Linked DNA regions of Mus musculus. The protein of the gene in region 5 purifies or fractionates together with the protein of the main gene of each other region. This does not show direct contact. Links are inferred from orthologs where the notes say so. Each region holds a gene or a part of one and is shown on either strand. Other genes may lie near its edges.

Evidence for each region. Proteins that work in one complex are often made in the same cells at the same time.
Region 1: the proteins of Chuk (region 5) and Akt1 purify together in Homo sapiens (affinity purification with western blotting; 5 studies listed by BioGRID). This does not show direct contact. The link is inferred for Mus musculus from reciprocal best matches to the Homo sapiens genes CHUK and AKT1.
Region 2: the proteins of Chuk (region 5) and Pias1 purify together in Homo sapiens (affinity purification with western blotting; 3 studies listed by BioGRID). This does not show direct contact. The link is inferred for Mus musculus from reciprocal best matches to the Homo sapiens genes CHUK and PIAS1.
Region 3: the proteins of Chuk (region 5) and Map3k7 purify together in Homo sapiens (affinity purification with western blotting; 9 studies listed by BioGRID and IntAct, with this or other methods). This does not show direct contact. The link is inferred for Mus musculus from reciprocal best matches to the Homo sapiens genes CHUK and MAP3K7.
Region 4: the proteins of Chuk (region 5) and Eif2ak2 purify together in Homo sapiens (affinity purification with western blotting; 3 studies listed by BioGRID). This does not show direct contact. The link is inferred for Mus musculus from reciprocal best matches to the Homo sapiens genes CHUK and EIF2AK2.

Annotation. Positions count from the first base shown.
Region 1 is NC_000078.6:112,671,477-112,675,757, forward strand, and holds the start of Akt1 (RAC-alpha serine/threonine-protein kinase), read right to left. Parts: upstream 2,801-4,281; 5' UTR 2,524-2,800; intron 2,464-2,523; exon of another isoform or gene 2,230-2,463; intron 179-2,229; 5' UTR 86-178; coding exon 40-85; intron 1-39. UniProt on the Homo sapiens protein: AKT1 is one of 3 closely related serine/threonine-protein kinases (AKT1, AKT2 and AKT3) called the AKT kinase, and which regulate many processes including metabolism, proliferation, cell survival, growth and angiogenesis.
Region 2 is NC_000075.6:62,978,080-62,982,149, forward strand, and holds the start of Pias1 (E3 SUMO-protein ligase PIAS1), read right to left. Parts: upstream 2,801-4,070; 5' UTR 2,793-2,800; coding exon 2,769-2,792; intron 2,449-2,768; exon of another isoform or gene 2,435-2,448; intron 1-2,434. UniProt on the Homo sapiens protein: Functions as an E3-type small ubiquitin-like modifier (SUMO) ligase, stabilizing the interaction between UBE2I and the substrate, and as a SUMO-tethering factor. Catalyzes sumoylation of various proteins, such as CEBPB, MRE11, MTA1, PTK2 and PML.
Region 3 is NC_000070.6:31,962,753-31,966,906, reverse strand, and holds the start of Map3k7 (mitogen-activated protein kinase kinase kinase 7), read right to left. Parts: upstream 2,801-4,154; 5' UTR 2,645-2,800; coding exon 2,525-2,644; intron 1-2,524. UniProt on the Homo sapiens protein: Serine/threonine kinase which acts as an essential component of the MAP kinase signal transduction pathway. Plays an important role in the cascades of cellular responses evoked by changes in the environment.
Region 4 is NC_000083.6:78,879,661-78,883,960, forward strand, and holds the start of Eif2ak2 (interferon-induced, double-stranded RNA-activated protein kinase), read right to left. Parts: upstream 2,801-4,300; 5' UTR 2,740-2,800; exon of another isoform or gene 2,712-2,739; intron 2,422-2,711; coding exon of another isoform or gene 2,374-2,421; exon of another isoform or gene 2,224-2,373; intron 1-2,223. Other genes in the region: uncharacterized protein Gm26637, read left to right, coding at 2,374-2,421, 2,801-2,963, 3,058-3,287.
Region 5 is NC_000085.6:44,097,478-44,100,977, forward strand, and holds part of Chuk (inhibitor of nuclear factor kappa-B kinase subunit alpha), read right to left. Parts: intron 2,743-3,500; coding exon 2,673-2,742; intron 1,197-2,672; coding exon 1,108-1,196; intron 55-1,107; coding exon 1-54.

The DNA of each region.
Region 1 (4,281 bases), on a different chromosome or scaffold from region 5:
CCCAGGCCGGCCTGCTTCTCCTGTGGAGTGCGGACTTACCTCGTTTGTGCAGCCAGCCCTCCTTCACAATGGCTACGTCGTTCATGGTATCCGTGGCCCCCAGAGACAGGGGTAACCCAGGGATGATGCTCAGAGTCTCTTCTCGGTAGGCTGAGCCCAGCCGGCCTGGCCGCAGCGTCTAGAAGAAGCCGAGAAAGCACGTGAGACAAGGTCCCACTTGGGACTAGCTTCCGTGAGCCCCAGAGGGCCCACAATTACCCATGTCCCCTCATGTGATCTACCCATCTCTGGTTCCCAGGTTCCCTCCTCACCCTTACTCCCTGCCAGCCTGCCTGACGTGTCTCCAAAGGTTGCTATAGAAGACCTCCCTCCAGTAGTAGATGCTACACACCCAGATCTAGGCCTGGTAGTCCGGGGTGCAAGGCTGTGGCCAACCCCCATCATCCTGGTCTCTGCTAGAAACATTCATTTCCAGAAGGCTTTTCCTGTTAGGCAGCTTGTTCAATTTGCTACCCCAGCAGATTAGGCCACCTCCTCCAGGCAGCCCTGACTGCTTCTGCTCTGCCTCGCACTAGTGAGGGGTGCTTACCACTGTCTCACCACCCCCTACAGTCTGGGAGGCCTACTGCAGGTCGCAGGGTCCCTACGGCTCACGTTAGGAACGCGGGAAGGCCAACACTGGAGAGCACAAGTAGAACAGGCACGGTATGAAGCTGAGCCCAAAGTCCTTCAGGACAACACTAAAAACTCCTCAGGCAGAACCCCAGACCCCTTGGGAACACAGCACCCTGCCTGTGAAGCTGTCCCCTTCACTTGGTGAGTACACACTAGGCACATATGGTTCTGTCGAGCCTTCACCCTACGCCTGAGACAGAGAGACTCTGAGACAGCCTGCTGGGAACACCCAAAGCAGTGGTTACGACCCACAATTACAGTATCCGGGAGCCCACAAACAGGGCAGGTAACACACAAGGGTCCTGCAGCGGCCAACTAGCTAGCCTGTGCAAAGCAAAGGGTGCCAGCTCACCTCGCAAAGATCCCCCCGCCCCCCAATTGCTTCTCTTCCAGAGGGACACCTAGGTATCCTTCAAATATCCCCAAGTCTGGACATTCTGGGAAAGTGCACCTGAACAGCCCTTGACCAGCAAGCCTGTGTTGTCCCTCCACCTGGAGTTCATGTGGACAATCCCCAGGAAAAGACTGGAAGGCCGCCGTGGAATAGATCCCAACTAGGGTCTACTACAGCTGACTGGCAACCCCCTATGTCATCTCTCTAGCCCAGAAGACACAAGCTGGCACCCAGAGTCTCTGTCACTTTGCCTTGTATGAAGCTAAATGTGGAACAAAAGGGAGGCCGGCTGCTATGTGTCAAATGCCAAATGCCAAAGTAGGAAAGACCACACCTGGCCCAAGAAGGAAAGAGCCCTTCCCTCAGCAAGCAGGTGGCGACTAAAAGCCAGAACGAAAAAGATAAGCCAAGAAGAAATCCCAGCTCAGTGACTGTCAGAGTGGGTGTGGCCTGGAGGCAGAGGGCTGTACTGCAAGATCTCTCTCGGTGGATGTCCCCTACCCCCACCCAGCCCCAAGGTCTGCTGATGACAGTCAGCTGTCCAGAGCCGTGTAAAAATAAATTCATACACACGGAGTGAAGAAACACAGCCATGTTAACGCCAATGTCCACATCAAGCCGACTTAAGCATGGGACACTCTTCCCACCATGCCATGCCGTAAGGGCATATGGTTGCTATTGTTAAGTCTTAAGAGTTCAGCCCCTCTGGGACACTGGCCCGTGAGCCACACGCCCAGCTGGGGCCCCACCAAGGCGACTCGCCCTTCACTTTAGTGATGGCTCTAGGCAGTCAAGGCTAGCCACCTGGAGCAAGACCAGGGGCCTGGGGGAAGGAGGAGTTTGGCCACACAGCAGAGGCCCAAGGTTCCACCACCGCCCAACTTAGAAACCAGTCCTCTTTAGACAATTCCATCAGCTCAGCCAGTATCCCGGATCCGGGAGACCGAGTCCACGCCGTCCTCAAGGCCCCCCCCCCCCCCGGCACCTCCAGAAACCACCTAGTCCAGGAAGCAGCTTCCGGGCCCAGGAGGGTTAGCAGTCCTTTGTGGGCTAGCCTGGGCACTGTGCCACCGCGCACAACTTTCTGTCCGTGGGAAATGAGTTCTCCTTCCCAGGGCCCTCCCACCGCACGCAGGCCGCGGGGCGAGCCTTTCTCCTACCCTCGCTGGCCGAGTGCCCGGGCAGCCCCAGGCCCCAGGGCGCACCGGCCCCCACTGCGCACACCAACAGCGCCCCTCTCCCGCGACCTGGCCCCGTGGAGCGGCCACCCAAGGTCACGCAGCGGCCGCCCGCACCCTCGCCGGCGTGGGCCTCCTGCGCGACCAGCCCGGCCCCGCGCGCTCCCCGCCCAGGCCTCCGCTCGGCCACTTCCTGCTCCTACTCCGAGGCGCGGCGCGGCCGGGAACAAAGCGGGGTGGCCGCGGCCCGGAACAGGGCGCGGCGCGGGCACTCACCGGGCCGCCGCGTGCGGGCGACTGGGCCTAGCCGGGCCGCGGCCTCGGGCGCCCGCCGCTCCGCATCCCGCGGGCGGGCGCTGGGCGGGGCCGGCTGAAGGCAGCGGCGTCCGGGCGCGCGCTGCTGGCCGGATCTGGGCCGCCGCGGTGCCGGCCACAGGACGCTGCTCGGTCCGCTCCGCTGGTCCCGGACTCGCGTGCGCTGCCGCGCTGGGCCGGCCGCCCGCCGACTCGGTGCTGCCGCCGCCGCCGCCGGCCCGCCTTCTCCCCGCCCCGCGCCCGCGCCGCCCGCCCACATCCGCCTCCGCCGCCCCGGGCGCCCCCGGCGCGGCCCGCGGCCAGGGCGAGGCACCCCGTGAGCGCGAGCGCGGCCCCGCAGGCGCCGCCCTCGGGTGGCCCCGAGCCAGGGCCACGCGGGTAACGGAGCCCCGCCGCAGATCCAGAGCTCCAGCTCTGGTCTGGGTTTCCCGGTTTGTGGGACCTGGCCCTTCCCTGCCTAGCTCTCCAGACCCCAAGGAGGGAGGCCAGCGTGGGAAGTGAATCAGTTTGACTCTCAAGAGGCCCAACTGTCCCCATCTTGGGAGCCGGGAGAGACCGGTCACCGGTGTCCTAAAGGCCAGCCAACACAAGAAAGAAGGCTATTGAGGGCTCATCCAACCCAGTACTGCCTGCCACAGCAACTGATAAGGACTCCCCAGGTGACAGGGAGGACGGGAGCACACCTGGACACCCAGAGGGGGCAGATTCAGGGGTAGGACTCAGTCAGCCAAGACCTTGCTGTGGACTCAGATGGGTGAGGCTTGGGGGGCGGTTCCTTATGGTGTCCCGGAATTGAAGAGTCAAGGTGGTTCCTGCCTCTTATCCATCCTCAGTCCTTCCCCCTTCGGCCAGCCTCAGCAGTTCCTGCGCAGGGCCCCTCCCTCGTCCCAGAAGCCCGACTTGATAGTAACCCTTTTGTGAATTTACCTTCATGTGTTTGGTATTTTTAACCAGGGGGCATTTTTTGTTTTTCATACAAGGGTCAGAGTTCACCAGGAGTGTAAACAAGAGGGTAGATTTAGTAGTCCACGCTATCGCCCAGGATGGAAATCGGAGCTCCTTCTCGGGCTCCTGGGGCTGACCTGGGAAGCACACCCCACTCCCGGAGAAGAACTCACTCTCCTCTCAGCCACGCCCCATACCCTTCAGACGGGGATGGGGATGGGGGGCTCTGTTCTGTGCCCTATCTGCTGCACAGCTGCCCCAGCTCAGAGAGCCTCCAGGGCGCTAAGTCAGAGGCTCAGCAGCAGTTCTGTTCTGCTCCAGCAGTATCCCTGACCCTGAGAGTGGCCTTCAGAGGCTGAGAGTCACACAAATATCCATCACTCGCCCAGCAAACCTTCACCCCAGGCCCCCAACTCCTCCTCTCCTACTTCCCCCATCCCGTTGCTACACAGTTAGAGCCAGCAGGGCGCCCTCTTGTGGAACACAGCAATTTCTGGCTGTTCTCTAGTGACCCTTCTCACTCGGATGCTCTTCCTGGAAGCCACTGTTGGAGACAGCTCCTACCTGTGGTGAGCCCTGTTTCTATGCAGTAACCAGTCCCGCCTCCCTTCTTTGTGTCTCTATCTTCCCCCGAGTCCGGAGTGGGTTGGGGGATAGGCGACTCCTTCTGGGTCCACACTTTGGCAACACCTCTTTGGGCCTCCTAGACAGAGCCACAAGGTGAGTAAGGTCCGCCTTACTGAGACTTGCCACTGGCCTGCTCTGCAGCCATGC
Region 2 (4,070 bases), on a different chromosome or scaffold from region 5:
AAGAGTGGAAAACAAACCCTCTGGAAATTTCAAGTAGCTTTTAGAGAGGGTGAAAAAATGGAGACCAGTTTTAGAAAAATACCATTTCCATTAAGTGTTCAGAGTCTGTGTGATACTGACTCATTTCTGTAAAGAGTAAACTTTACCTAACAAGACTCACACCAGGAATCTCATCTATCCCCAAAGGCACTCTTCTTTCTTTTTCCTTTTTCTTTATTCTATTTCTTTATTTTATCAAGACATGATCTTACTAAGTAGCTCTGCCTATCCTGGAACTCACTCTGTAGATCAGCTGATCCTCAAAAAGAGATTCACCTGCCTCTGCCTCCCAAAGGCTGGGATTAAAGGTATGGGGCCACTATGCCTGGCCCCGAAGGCACTTTCTTAAAATAGAAACAACAAAGGTACTCTGTTCTTTGCAGGTACTTTTCCCATATGGTTTTCAAGCCTTACTACATGGTCCATGTATAAAAAACTTGGCCAGCTATTTTTCAAATTGACTCCTAAAAAGTATTAGGAAGCAAAGATAAGACAGCAGCAACTCTGAAGAGGATGGGGGTGGCACATGCTTTTAATCCCAGCACTTGGGAAGCAGGAGGCAGGCAGATCTCTGAGTTCTGAGTTTGAGGCCAGTCTGTTCTATAGAGTGAGTTCCAGGACAGCCAGGGCTACACAGAGAGAAACCCTGCCTCAAAACAAAATCAAAAATAAAAGATGACAGTAACATAGTGACAGAAAAATAATTACATAAAATACACATACTTGAGCTCTGGGGTTTTTTGTTCGTTTGTTTTTATGCAAGGTGGTTGTCTCCAAAATGTTAAATTTCAGAGGCTTTCTTGGTGAAATCAATAGTCTGAAATTGGGATAAAAAAAACTATCCAAGTCAGGAATGGTGGTGAATGCCTTTAATCCCTTTAATCCTAGCACTAAGGAGGCAGAGGCTAGAGGATCCCTGAAGTTTAAAGCCTGTATGGTCTGTCTACACAGTGAGTTCCAGACCAACCTCAGCAACATAGCAAACCTCTGTCTTAAAAAAAAAGGGGGGGGGGGCGCTATCCATTAAGATTTTCTGTCTTAAACAAGTTAGTAATTAGAAGTAAACTTAAAAAAAACAAATACCCAAATCTTGTACAAAAATCTTGATATGTTAACACTCCAAAGTTACTAAGGAAAAAAAGATCTTCCAGTGAGGCTTTTACACACACACACACACACACACACACACAGGTGCACGGAAAGAAAAGTGTCCAGAAACACAGGTAGTGGTCTGCTTGTTTTAGAAGTTATTTCATTATAATGGGGAAAATAATAATTTTTTTTATTGATTATAAAAAGAATTTCTAAATCTCCCTGAGGATTTATAATTGCATAGCCCAATCTCCACTCTGACAGAGATGTGCTATAACCAGCTGTTTGGTTCGCACACAGGAAGCCAGAGAAGGGAATACCATGTTCAGAGCCTCTAAATAATATGCGTTAGTTAAGAACTGCCTGCCTGCTACTAAACCAGAATTATTCAAGCAGAGACCCATTTGTCACAATCCAATCATAAGGGTTCCACCAGCCCTCCCCCAACTGCTTGTGTAGTGGTATATGTGCTTCAGTAAAGGAGCCATCATCAGGTAAAGATTGGGGTGGGAGAAAAAGCGGGGGAAAGGGGGCACCCTTTCATCTAATTTCGCGAGGCATGAGTAATTGGTACAGTTGAGAGGAACGATGGAACGTTCTATTTATTGGAGGTTGGGGTGGGATGGGGGGTGGGTGGGAGGAGAATTTCGTTTAAATCAACATGGCCAGCAAGATGTCCCTAACAAACAAAAGGCAACGGGGGATATAAACACGAACCATTCACCTCCATCAGCTATAGCATCGCCATCATGGTGTGTTTAGAGACCCCCAAGGCTGCTCTCATCTGCCACACCAGAGACAGCAAGAGTGCAGAGAGGTGGCTGCATCCCCACCACCGCTCCCAAAAGCACACTCTTTCAATGGGTTGCTCCCCACCACCACACACACACCCTCCCCGGTGGCCCGAAATCAAGAGAGAAACAGTAACGTCCCGCCCGGGCAGACTCCCCCTGCAACCCTTTAGCCGAACCCCCAACGCCGGCTCCGGGCTCGCTAAACTTTCCAAGAGCTTCTCCCTCGTATTCCCTAGCCGATTGCCCCGGGATCGCGCATTCCCTCTGGCCGGGCACCCATTGACAGGCGGGCGGGCAGCGGCGGCAAGCGAGGCGGGGGCGCCTGGGCGCCGCGGAGGGGCGGGGCGGCCGGAGCCAAGTTCCCGGGGGTCCGAGCGCTGCGCCTGACAGGAGCCCGGGACGGCGAAAGAGGAAGAGGAAGCGGCAGCGGGGCAGTTTTCCCGATCCCCCTCTTCCCAGAGCAGCCTACACCCCCCCACCCCCTGGCTGCCCATGGGGGGGGGGGGGGGAGGCGGGCTGCAAGGTAAGGCACCCAGGCCCCGGGGACCGCCGCTGCCGCCACGTCCCGACTCACTCTCTCTTCGCCCCGCCACCCCCGCCAGAGGCGCCCACAACAATAACACGCCGGGGACGACCCGTCAGCGCCCCCGAGGCACCCGGGGCCCACGGCCCGCCGCAGCCAGGCCCCCTCCACTAAGGCCCGGAGCGCCTCTCCCGCCTACAACTCCAGACTCGGGTGGAGCCCGGCCCGAGCGGGCCCCCCAGGGTCCGACCCATCCCCCCGGCAGCCGCGGCGCCGTCTCCGCGGCCGAATATTAGAAGTGAATTCGAGCTGCGCTTTACCTTTAGTTCCGCACTGTCCGCCATCTTGCGTCTGTCAGCGCAAGCGCAATGAAGCTCGCCGGGGGCCGCGCTGGAACCTCCCCTCTAGCGGACTTGACTCCGCCTCCACCCCGCCCCTCAGCCTTCCCGCTCCGCCCCTGGCCTCCGCCCCACTCCAGGAGCTCGCTGCCCCGCCCCGGGCACGCACAGCTGCGAGACCCACACGCACTATTTAAATAATGGCGCCAAGCGGGAGTTTGACAGTTACTACCCCCTCGGCCTCCCCGCCCCCACACTGGCCGAGCCAGTAGCGCCCAGGGAAGAGGCCACATCTGGGGAGGTGTTGGCCTCAGTCTCATCCTTCGGCTGCCCTCTGAGCCCCAGTTGACTGAAGCCACGGCGCGCCCCCATGCGCAAGATGCGTTCTGCACCTGTACCCTACCCAGCTGCCGGTCGATCACAACTAGCCAATTAGTCAGTTTTGTCTAAGGAGAATTTGACGAAGCGTTTCTGGGTTTACGCAGATCCTCATGATGAGGCAGTTAGGCCAAAAAAGAAAAAAAAAAAAAAATATATATATATATATATATATCATTCCCATGGTATCTTTTCCGAAATAAAAGCTCTGAGGGGAAAAAGGGACTCTCCTAAACAGCATTTAACAGTAGTAGCTAAGGCAAATTCTGAAGACATTTATTCATCGCGTCACCCTGGGTAGTCAGAAATTAGAGAAGATCCCTGACCTGTCGCTCATGGGGTACAGATCTGTGAACTATTAAGATATAATTACTAATGGTGATGAACAGCATAGAGATTAAAAGGCTCACCAAGAGAAAAATGGATTGGGGGGGGTGGGGTGTGCTTAATCCCAGAAGGGTTTTCTTCACCTACATTGATATTTAGACTTACTCCTATCTACTAAAAGCTTCCTTCAAAACCCCAGCCTTTTTTAACTGATCAACTTTTTACTATCAAAATCCTCTTAACATTTGGGTTACTCTGAATTCAAGAAGGCCAGGTCCTGACCAGTGACCTGGATTATTTCACTCCCACATGCCCACATGTTTTACTCCAGTATCTTTATAGTTCCAACCCCCTTTCTTCAAGGAATCATTTTCATCAGCATATAAACATAACCAAAATTCCTTACTTAAATTTATGCTTCCTCTGGATCCAAAATTACCTTCAATGGGTACTCTATTTCTCCGCTTTCTTCACTGAATAAATTCACAAACAAGACTTCATTTTTCTACAAGTACTTGTTCCCATTTCTTCAGTGGCATTACCTCCAAACCTATCCTGAGGCAGCTCCACTGCCTGCCC
Region 3 (4,154 bases), on a different chromosome or scaffold from region 5:
TTGGAAACAAGGTATTTTATTTTTACAACAGGAATAGATTTCTAATAATTTTGTCTAATCTATCAATTTAAGAGAGATATCACAGGTCTCCAAATTGAATGACCTGACTCCATATATTCTGACACAATGCAGCATCTAATTTTCTAAATCTGAGTACATTTTCCACCAAACCATCCAATCCTGAAAGTGTCTAGTCTATGTCCTGACTCTCTTCACTGACGTACAGAAGGTTAAAAACTGAATGACTTATAAAAATTAAGTACTCATGTAGATTTCTTAGGCAGAAAACTAATATAATCTGACATGAAAGTGAAGAGCCACAGTACTCTGATACTGCAATGATGGAAACATCTGCTGTCTTAGAAATGTGTATCTACGAAATGATTCCCCATCTGCCTGGAGTTAGATGTTTTCCTGCCACAGCTTCTAATTATCTTTGTGTAGTGCTGAGTCCATTATATTATGGGTTGAGAAATAAATAATGTGGTTCTCTCGACTTACTGTTTCGCTTTCTGTGGTGCTAGGATTGGAGCCTGAGCCTCAAGCACAGAGGGCAAGAACTTCAATACTGGGTTATACACCAAGCCATTCTTTTCTTAATTGATAGGGCTATGATATACTTGTCCATATAAAACACTGAAGGCATGTGAGATAGTTTTCATGTTGGGTCATCTTTCTGTTTTCCTATTTATGATTTAAACTAGAGATGGAATGTAAGTTGAAATAGTTTGAGTGCCCATGATGCACCTCTGACTGCACAATCTCTTTAATGTGCTCACAGGAAGACTATAATGGAAATTATGTAATGGTTTTGACATCAGAAAGGCCTGAATTAAATCGGGACTATAAAAATAAACTAGGTTCTAAGACGAAACAAATTTCAAAAATGTACCAGCTTTGGATTGAGGGCTTCAAATTGATTATTGTCTCCCTTAGCAACTTGCAGGCCCCAATGAGGCAAGAATGTGAAAGCTTTAAAAAGTTGTGTGCAAAAAACTAAGGCTGCAAAAATCAAACAAAGTAAGCTCGTGGAAATATGTGGTAGACCATGAAGTACAAGTTATTATTATATAACAATTTGTAGTCTACAAGGACAGCAATTCATGAGAGTACACGTAAATGCTTATTTAAAAGCTGCGATTCTTGTATACTGACTCACTGAAGTTTTAGTCTTAAAAAAGAATGTTATCCATGAAAGCTGGACCAACTACCCGCTTCTGAAAAAAGGAATTTATCTTAGCTTCAATGGGGGTGGGGGGGACATATAAAATGTTTTCCTCTTCAAAAACAGGCCTTCTTTTAGCATATGACCTTAAAGCAGGTCACCCTTCCTGTCTGGAACTTTGCTTCCTAACAATATGTCAGGCACTATATTGGATTTTCTGCACACACTGCTTAACTGGATTTGTCACACTGATAAAGTAGCAATCACTCCCATCTTACAGTTAAGGAAACGAACACACAGAAAGCAGTAGGAAACCAAGTCCCACAGTGCTCTGTCTATCTCTGAAGCGTCTTCCTCTGTCTCAAACCTTCCCCTATCCAGCACACTTTTTCTAAGATAATCATGCTCTCAATGAACACACTCATCTCTGGTTAGTTTTTGTGATACAAAGATATGACTTAGTAGTCCTCTAAGGTAAAGATGTATTTATTGATTGTTAATTTGCTTGCATCTTTTAACTCCTTACTATAATACTTTAAAAATGAAGAAAAGACAACTCAGTCTAGCTATAAAAAACCCACACATTAAGGCACAGAAAATGCACAGTGCTCTTAAAAAACGGTTAAACTCATAGAAACTGCGTGAACGCGTTTCTAACCAAAGCTTCAACGAGTTCTAAACGGCATTTTGAATATATGTACAGATTTTTTCCTCTTCAGTAAATATTAAGACTCTTAGAAGTCACTGGCCCCACTGTGAATCTGAAAATAGGCGATGAAGTGAAGACACTCTTCCACCTGAACATTGAATTTATTCGGTTTTTCTAACAGCGATTTCTGGTGTAGCGTAATATTCTGACTGTCACCATAATCACTACTTGCCTCTTCAGACTATGCTACTTGAAACATGTTTTCATAACAGACTTAACGTTACTAGAGATTGAAATTCATCTACAGAGCCCAATAGAAGGTAGAACTACCTACGGTATCAGAGAAAGAAGAATCCGGGACCAGGGGAAGCACCGTGAGACGTTCGACGTTCTCTTTACCAGCCTGTCCCAAGCATCCTTTCGTGTCACACACTGCGCTAGAAGTCACACAGACAGACAAGACAGACATACAGACAGACAGACAGACACACACACACACACTATCCTGGACTCTAACACCACTACCAGCGAGCTGAAATCCCGCGGCCACCAAACTTTGCTCAATCTATTTACGGATAATTGAACTGCCGACCACATAAGAATCAGGTAGAGAATCACAGATTCAGACTCAACCCCCGAAGCCCATGGGGAAGCCGCCTCCCGCCCGGGATCCCAGGCGGCGCGGGGCAGCAGGTCTCGGCCTCGCTCACCTCTTCCACCTCGATCTCCTTGTAGTCGATCTCTTCGAAGTTCAGGACCTGCGACGGCGCTTCGATCATCTCACTGGCAGAAGACGAGGAGGAGGACGAGGCGGCGGAGGCTGTCGACATGATCCCCCGCGGCGCCCGGGGGGCCGCGCCCGCCCTCCGGCTCGCGCAGCGCCCTTCAGCCCGGAGCCCCGCAGCCCCGCCGCCCGGCGCTCCGTGGCGCGGGACCGACCCGGGCCACCGCCGAGTCCCGGCTTCGGCTCCTCAGCGCTTTCCGTCGCCGGGCCCCGCCCACCACACTTCCAGTTCCGGTTTGAACTCGGAACTGGGAGGGAGGAGGCGCGCCTGCCGGACCCGAGCGGGGAATTTCCTGACCCGGGGAGCGAGTGAGGGAGAAGCCGGGGTAGGGGCGGAGTGGAGGAGGGCGAGCGCGGAGCCGTGGGCCCGAGGAACAGGTTTCGCGAGACTTTTGCGAAAGGGCCTCGGCGGCAGGAGGATACCGCGAGACTGGACGCCGTGACGTAGTAAATGTGCGCGATCGGAACTGGCGCGGAGCGAGCCCGAAGGCGGACCGGTTGGTCCTGCGGGATCCAGCGGGAAAGATGAACTCCGTCGCTTTCTGCCTGTTTCTTTTGAGCCGCGTCGTGCCTTCCCCTGCTCTGTGCTGGGCGGTCTGCGGTCAGGCAGCCTAGGGTTTGTCTTGTGCTCATTGGGCACCTCTTCATGTCGGGTTTTCAGCCGTGAGCCCGTTACTTTTTTAAGCGGAACCCCGAGCTGGCGAGGGGGTTCGGGAGCAGCGGTTAGCGCGCGCCATCGGGGGGAGCACCGTGACGCGTGAGCGCTCACTAATGGAAGTTAGCATCGTAGAGAGACACCAGTGGCGTTTTACACACTTCCTAAGGCAGTTCAGATGGCTTCGCTTTGTCACCTTCCCGAGGCTGTCGTCCACAACAGCCCCGAGGGTTTGGTTTGAGAATCCGTGGACACACCAAGACGACGGATTTTAAGAGGAGCCACTATGCCTCAGAGCTATAAGGAGAGTCACGCTTCATTGTCCTTAATGTTTATGTACAGCATTTTGGCGACCTTTGAGGACATTGTCTTTGAAGGACTAATGTCTCTGAAGGATTGTTGAGTTTAAGGGAGATCATAGGGTGGTTCCTGAAGACTACCCAACAAGATTAGGATTGCTACGGTAAAGCCCCATATTCCGGGGTTACTAGAGTTAAGATAACTTAATTGGAAACAAAGTTAATAGTCTAATGTCTAGGAAAGGACGAAGGGCACAGGCTTGAACCTTAGGCAAAGATCCACTGCTAGTTTAACCTAAGATACCTTTATAGGAAGGAATGTTGCCTTTGTGTCGGCAGTCTTCATAGCAAATGTTGGTTGTACTGAGATTATTTATTTATTTATTTTTAACCCGATGAGGAGTTTCAACTTCGAATAAGGGGCACCTTTCCCTATTTATGGTCTCATAGCTTTTCCTTTCCTGCCTTTAATGCTAGTGCTGTATGCTTACTAAATACTCAGCAGTAGCATGGCAATTCAAGTTTGAGTGTCACAAGTTAGGTCAGAGAACCCCAAGATGGAAGGTATTGCCCATGTTGTATGACCAACACGATTTTAAATT
Region 4 (4,300 bases), on a different chromosome or scaffold from region 5:
ACAGAGAAATAGCCAAAGAGGTGAAATGTCCCCAGGAGAAAGGAAGCGAACTGTTTCTGGGTATGGTTACATTAGACCTGATGTAATATTATACAGTGTGTACTTATTATCAAAATATCACCTACGCCTAATCTGGACATTTTTGTTTCTACATATCTGTTTAAAAATGAATTGGTACATTTAAGACATTAGGCTCAGTGGGTTTGGAGACAGCTTCATTGGTAGAGGGCTTGTGTAGCCTACACAAAGCCCCACATTTGATCCTCACCGCCTTATGAAATGTAATTTTACTTTTTAAATTTTAAGCACGATTCTTCACCTGTGGGCTGTGACCCCTTTCACAGAGGTCACATATCAGATATTTACAGTGTAATTCAGAACAACAAAATTGCAGTTAAGGAGTAGCATCAAAATAATATGGTTGAGGTCAGCACAACGTGCGGGTGTTAAGGGGAAGGTTGAGGACCACTGCTTTAAAAGCATCTGGAGCCTCTACAAGTCACCAAGACTGCTGTTGCGAGAGTCCCAGGGGCTCATTCATTGTCAAATCCAATAGTCCAATTTCGGTCACTTGTTCCCGCCTCAACTCCCCACCCCCATTAGCTTAGGTTTCTGTGGGTCTCCTCTGTTCTCACAAGCTGGGCCTTCTCTGCCTCCTTCCCTGGCTCCTCCTCATCTTCTTTTCATCCAGAGACCCAGTCCTCAAGTCTCTTCCTGCTCTGTACTTAGCGTCTCTCCTGATGATCACCTCCAGGCTGTGACCTTACATTCTACCTACAGAGTGATGGTTTTCACCAGGGTTGGCAAGATGGATCAGCAGGTGAAGCAGCCTGCTGCAAAGACTGACCATCTGAGTTCAATCCCTGGGACCTACGTAGTTGTCCTGTGACCTAGACGGGCTCCCTGAAGCACATGTGAACACACATACATACACACACGCTCACATACAAATAATAGAAAAACATAAAACTAAATAAGTAAATGTACAGCTGGAAAGATGACCCAGCAGTTAACGGCACCGCTGCGCTTCCAGAGAATCCAAGTGTGGTTCTCAGCATGGCAGGCAGCTCAAACCTCTTTGTAATTCTAGCTTCTGGGGATCCGGCACCTTCCCTGGCCTCCAAGGGAATTGCATTCCTATGCACACACTCATACACAGATACATAATTAAAAATAAAAAGTAAATAAATTATTTTTTAGAAAGATTTATTTACTTTTTATGAATGTGAGTACAGTGTCTGTTACTCTCTTCAGACACACCACAAGAGGGCATCCGTCCCATTACAGATGGTTGGGACCCACCATGTGGTTGCTGGGAACTGGACTCAGATCTTCTGGAAGAGTGGTCAGCGCTCTTAACCGCTGAGCCATCTCTTCAGCCCCCAATAAATTCTTTTTAAAAATCAATATAACAGTTGTAACTGAAAAAGGAATGAAGGTACCAGAACTATAATAAGGGCTTGGTACAAATGAATGAATAAGTCCACTGGGGAATGAATGGCTAGGTACGGTCCAATCCATGCTCCCAGGAGTTGGAACCCTTTGTCTAGGGAGCAATTTTATTCACCTCTCAGGATGGGCTGGCCTTCTGTGATGCTGCAGGGGCAACTAGAATCACTCCACCTCACCACTGTATTGACAGGTGGGATTCCTATAAAGGAATCAGGATGCTTACCAGGAAGCTGCTCTCAGCTCTCAGTCGCTCACCCAAAGAGCAGCCCATCACATGCACCAACAAATGCCACCTGCTTGTCTCACCTATATCCTGAAGACCCTGATCTTTCTCCTTCCTGAAGACTGTAGGACCCCAGAAGGCTGAGCCCCTCCAGTCGCTGCTTCCCATACAACATGCATTCAGCTAGTATATGATATATAAAGGAGCAAGCTGCACACAGTGTTTGGGTCCCTCCAGGGCCGCAGGGCAAGCTGAAAAACAAGCACACACTCTGCCCTGAGAGTGTCTTTAACTCCAGGGGGCAAGGCACGGTTAGTACTAAAGGTGCAACAGGGAATCCCGTTTCTCTAGAATTCAAGGTTATTTATGAATTACCATCCACTTAACATACATGGAACGAGCACCTGTCAGGGATCAGGTGCTAGGCTTATACAAGCCAATGAAAACTGCTCTTGGGATCTTACTGGTAGAAGGAAAAAGACTAATTCTAGTACTAAGTACTAGTTGGAAGATTGAGAAAAATATGGGGCAGGGGACGGGGGGCGCTGGCTATGAGGGCAGAGTGGAGTTTCTAGCTTAGGGAAGGTAATTCATATCATTGGCTCTGTGAAAAGGACTGGATAGACAGATCTGCCCAGGAAGTCACTTGGGGGTGGGGTGAGGTGGAAAGGGCTTTCCAGGAAGTAGAAACAGGCAGCATGAAGGCAGGAGTTGGAGGGTATTTGGCTGTGGCCCAGAACCACCAAGTAAGTCTGAAAGTGGTGGGCACTGGGCGGGGGAGTTGGGAGAAGAAGGGGGAAGGGGAGGGGGAGGCGCGGGGGGGGGGGTTGCCTGACCATAGCGGCTGGTGGAGGATGGAGCAGGACCCGCTTGTCACAAAGGACAGCTAATTGGAATGCCATGACTGTGCAGCACAAAGTCTTGGCGCAGAATTCAGTCTCTGGGTCATTCAGGCTTCTAGAGTTCCCTCCAGAGTTTTAAGTCATTGGGCTTGTCATTTTCCTTCTGGGTCCCTTTTCCTGCAACCGCTATCCAGGAGTGGGAAAATAGCCCTCAGGTCTTACCAAAGTTTCTGGATCCGGACAGTGGCTCGCTCCCTGGAGCAGGATTCGAATTGTACTTCAGGTGCAGGCTCTGAAATCTATTCGCCCTCCGTTCCCTGCCGCTGCTGCTGCCCATGGAAGTCCGGGCCTGGCCGGTTCTCTTCTGTTTCGTTTTCCCGGCGGACTCCGCCTTCCCACACTGCTCTGGGCCCCTCCCGCACCGGCTCGCACCCGCGAGAAGTCAGGTAGGCGTGTCGCCTCTGTACCCCAGCGCGGGAGCCAAGGTCCGGGCCCGCCTCCCCTCTCCTGTGCAACTGCAGTAACTGCCAGCTTCTCCAGGTTTCGGACACTTCCTGGCTTCCATTCTGGGAAAGCTCTGCAGGAAGAAGAAGGAGAAACCCAAGCCTCCTGCTCCTGGATCAATGATCACAATCTACTTTTCAAAACAAACTTTGAGGAAGCAACTGGGCACATGGATGCTACCGAATTCCGATGTGCAGTGGGAGATACTGAGTAACTCGCCTCTCAGAGGGTCCAGCCAAGCTATGTCTGTGACAATTGAAGTCCAGGTTTGTAAACGTTAGTCTCCTTCCCCTTTCACACTGCCATGCCAAGGAGGACATAGCCATCTTGACAACATTGGCCAGAGGGTTGAAGAATTCTCTCTTAAATCTATTTGTCCAGCCCTCAGCAGTTACCTGCTAGCCCCTTGTTGCATATCACTCACCAGGCCAGGCCCCTGTTAAGATCCACCTGCTCCCAGAAAGGCCACAAGGAATGTTTTATCACAAGGCCAACACCAGCAGTCCCTGCTTAATAAGGAACCTTGCCTGAGCTGGAGAGATGGCTCAGCAGGTAAAAGCACTGACTGCTCTTCCAGAGGTCCTGAGTTCAATTCCCAGCAACCACATGGTGGCTCACAACCATCTGTAATGGGATCCGATGCCCTCTTCTGGTGTGTCTGAAGACAGCTATAGTGAACTCGTATACGGGTTAAAACAAAATTAAAAAAAAAAAAAGAAAAGAAAAGCAATCCTACCTTCCTGTAAGACTGTAACACACTCCCATAATGGAACTTGCTGGCCCAGGACTTGAGGGTTTAGCTTGTGGCACACTGCCCAGTGACACATCTTCATGCCTGCACTCTGAGCTGAGCACCATCCCTATGAGGAGAACTCAGGAGCTAGAATTAGAACCGGGAAATTGTACTCCCAACATGGCAACTGGTGAGAGATGGAAAAGTCCCAAGACAGAGCCCCCAATTTCACAGTCAACATTGCTGTGCCCACTCCTTTCTTCTTCCTTTCCTGTAAGGTAGGAGAACAACAGCCTAACTTTTCTTGTAGCGTGGATCCTGGGTGTAATTTGAGGTCTCTAATGTGAAAAGCCCGTGACCAGATCAGCCTCGATAAACTCCCGCTCCCTACTATAGCACCTTAAATGAACACCCGACTACCTAGGGAGAAGCTGACAGCGAGATCTCTGCAGACATTTCTCTACTGAACATTCACAATGGATGCCATTCTGCTCACTCTACCTATTCCATTCTAGGTGGTTTACTCTTGGCATTTCCAAAGACCCA
Region 5 (3,500 bases):
ACTTCCTTGATCAACATCTTTGGCATAACCCAAATCAATTATTTTATGTATTGTCTGTGAATAATAAGACATACTATGTATTAAATTGTTGAAATATCTGTAAAGGAAGGTAGGTTGGGGATGTAGTTTAGTGACAGATTGCTCCCATTGCATGTATAAGGGTCTAAGCACAGCAAAAAATAAAAAGGTGAGCCACTGAGAGGGCTCGGCTGATAGAGGCGCCTGATACCAAGTCTGATGACCTGAGTTTGAACCCCAGGTTCCATATGAGAGGAGGAGAACTAATTCCTGCAGGTTGTCCTGTTACCTGAATACAAGTTACAGCACATGCATGCATGCATGCGCACAAAATAACATAATTATAATTTTAAAAAAAGGTACCAATGTTTTTACAAACCGGAGAGATGATGGCAAAGAAGCTGGGCTCTGAGACAACACAAGTGCTAAGTCTGACAGTCTGACCACTGTTTAGACGTTAATCTTTCTGCTAATTTTTGAGACAGGGTCTCACTCTGTAACACAAGTTGGTATCAAACTTAAATCAACCCTCCTGCCTCAACCTCCCAAAAGTTGTTATCACAAATGTCAGGTAATATGCCTGGCTAACCATATAACCTTGATAAAGTTATTTAATCTCTAGCAGTTTCATGAGCAAGACAGATGCTTCTCTAAGGAGCCACTGTTCCATAGAGAAGAAAAACTAACCACAAAGCTACAGTTCAGGGGCTGGACAGTTGGCCAAGCAGTTACGAGCACCTGTTGCTCTTATAGAGAACTCGAGTTCAATTCCAATCACTCACTAATGGCTCACAGCCACTGTAATTCTAGACCCACGGACTCTGATGCCCTCTTCTTGTGTCCTCCACAAGCACCACATGTGGCCCACATACACATAAAATAACAACAACAGCAGCAACAACAATATATCTAGAACAACAATAATAAATCCAGAATTAAAAAACTACAGTTTAAGTCAGTGAAAACTGCAATAGAAAAATTATAAAGTACTATGTGTATATAATTAATAAGGGCACTAAAGTCTCTAAGGACTTAATATATCAGGGAGACTATAACAATAAGCATGAACATTCTCCAGGGTTCACCTACCTTCCCACCAACATCTTGAAGAACTATATTTTCAGGTTTTAGATCTCGATGTATAATTTTGTTTTCATGCAGATATCGGATCCCAGATCCTAAATAAAATTTGAAGTGTATTGTGAAGTAACAGAAAATACTGTTTAAAAAAAATCACATCACATTTTGTTTTTGTTGCTAGTGTTTTGAGACCAAGTCCCATGTGCTGTCTGGCATGGAATCCCTATGTAGCACAGGATCCCTTCCAATTCTTTATCCTCTTGTTCTATCTCCCAAGTGCTGGGATTGTAGGCATCAATCAGCCTACAGCTTTCAATCAATCAACTTTCTTTTAGACAGGGTCTCACTATATAGCCCTGGCTGGCCTGCTGGTCTTGATCTCACAGAGAACTTCTACCTCTGTCTCCCAATGTTGGAATAAAAGGTATGTCTAGCTACAGTCAGTTTTTAGCTCACATTTTCTATAGATCTATAATACTGGTGCAAAAATTATGCCCATGGAGATGGCTCAATGGATCAAAGCCAGTGCTGTGAAAGCCCGAGGACCTGAGTTCAAACCCCTGCCACTCACATAAAATAGTCAAGTATGACTTTGTGTAACAATAACCCCAGAGGGTTAAAAGTGGGGAGAGGCAAACCTCAAGCTGGTTGGTCAGCCAGCTTAGTCAGAACATGGGGCTTCCAGTTCAGTCAGAGTCCCTGTCTCAAAACAATCAAGTTAAGAAAACAAGAACACTTGCCATCCTGCCCTTGCCTCCAGATGCATGCTCCTCTGAGTGTGCACCAACAATCACTCTCATGTGCCACACACGTACCTCAAGACCTCATGTACCACACATACCACAACACACCACATCCTCCCACATTTATACGATCTATCACAGCTGCATCATCATTAGAGTAGTTCAGATTTTCTTCACCAGAAGTTCAATAACATCAAATAAACACTAAAAAATTATAATATATACTCATTTATTGGAATCAACATTAAAAGCAAATGGAATGATCAATTTTTGAGGAATAGCTGTAACCCCTAAATCACATTCTTAACTAGACTTTACTGCCCATGACCCAGGAAAAGAAGCAACACCAAAACACACAGGGAAATTAATTCTTGGTTTTTGAGGTTTCATTAAAGGTCTAGATCATGGTTATTTTAGGGATTTTTTTCAGTAGTAATTCATCTCAAGGTAACTTGAGGACCTATCCTCCTAAAGATGTAATTCCTCTATAAACAAAACTACTACTACGTCAGTGTTGGGGGAAGGTGGGAGAGGGGATGAAATGAATGCTGTTTTATACCACTTTTGTTATCACTGGAACATCTATTAGACAGCGGTACACAGCCAAAACCAAACAAACAAAACCCCCTCATATAGAAACAAATGCCAGAATGCACTAGTTTTCATTAGCATCATAAGAAATGGATATTTCTAATTTTTTAGAGATGATAAAAATCCTTATGCTTTGTAGAGTATATAAACAGTTCTCCTTCGCTTCTAAGCAGCACACAGAAGTTTCTGTGTACCAAAGGGGCATTAAATCGCAATGATAGTTTAATATTAGTTACATACCTATGTCACTCAGTAAAGAAAGTATCTGGCTTTCTTTAAGTCCACAACAATTTTCTGGTTTGTTGAGTAGCTAAAGGAAAAAGGAAAAAGGAAAAAACAAGTCTACTATTGCTGAGTAGTAACACCAAAATCATCAATCACTACACCATCAGAGAATAGTCAAATAAAAAAAAAGTCATAATAAAGAAATTATAAGGACTGGGCATAGTGGTGCATGTCTATACGGCCAGCACAGGGGAAGATGAGGCAGGACCATGAGTTCAAGGCCAGCACGGGTCTGTTTCAAAAATTGTAACAATGACAAGAGATATAAGGGTAAAAACAATCATGAAATCCATACTGAGGCTGAGTATATTTTATGAGAAGGCTCATAAGAAGTAAAGATAAGTGTAGAAAAATAATAACAATAATAATAAAATAAGTAAAGACAAGGGCAATAGCACTCGAAATTGAAATTGCTGACAAAGAGATACATTTAAAATCAAATATTAAGAATGATTATAATATAAAAGACAACTTTTTAATAAGTCCCACAAATGTTGATACTTTTATTTAAAATGACCAGCATGGAAACAACAATTTAAAAAAAGCATGTTCTAGGCCAAGCAAGGTGGCACATGCCTTTAATTCCAGCACTCAGGCAGAAGCAGACAGATCTCAAGGCCAGCCTAGTCTACAAAGTGAGTAGTAGGTCAACTGGGGGGTCCATAATGAAACCCTGCTCAAAAACAAAAAACAAAACAAAAAAAAATCATACACAAACCTAGGATGTATATAGTGATTAGGTTTTTGCCAACTTGGCACAAGTTAGAAGAAACCTCATTTGAG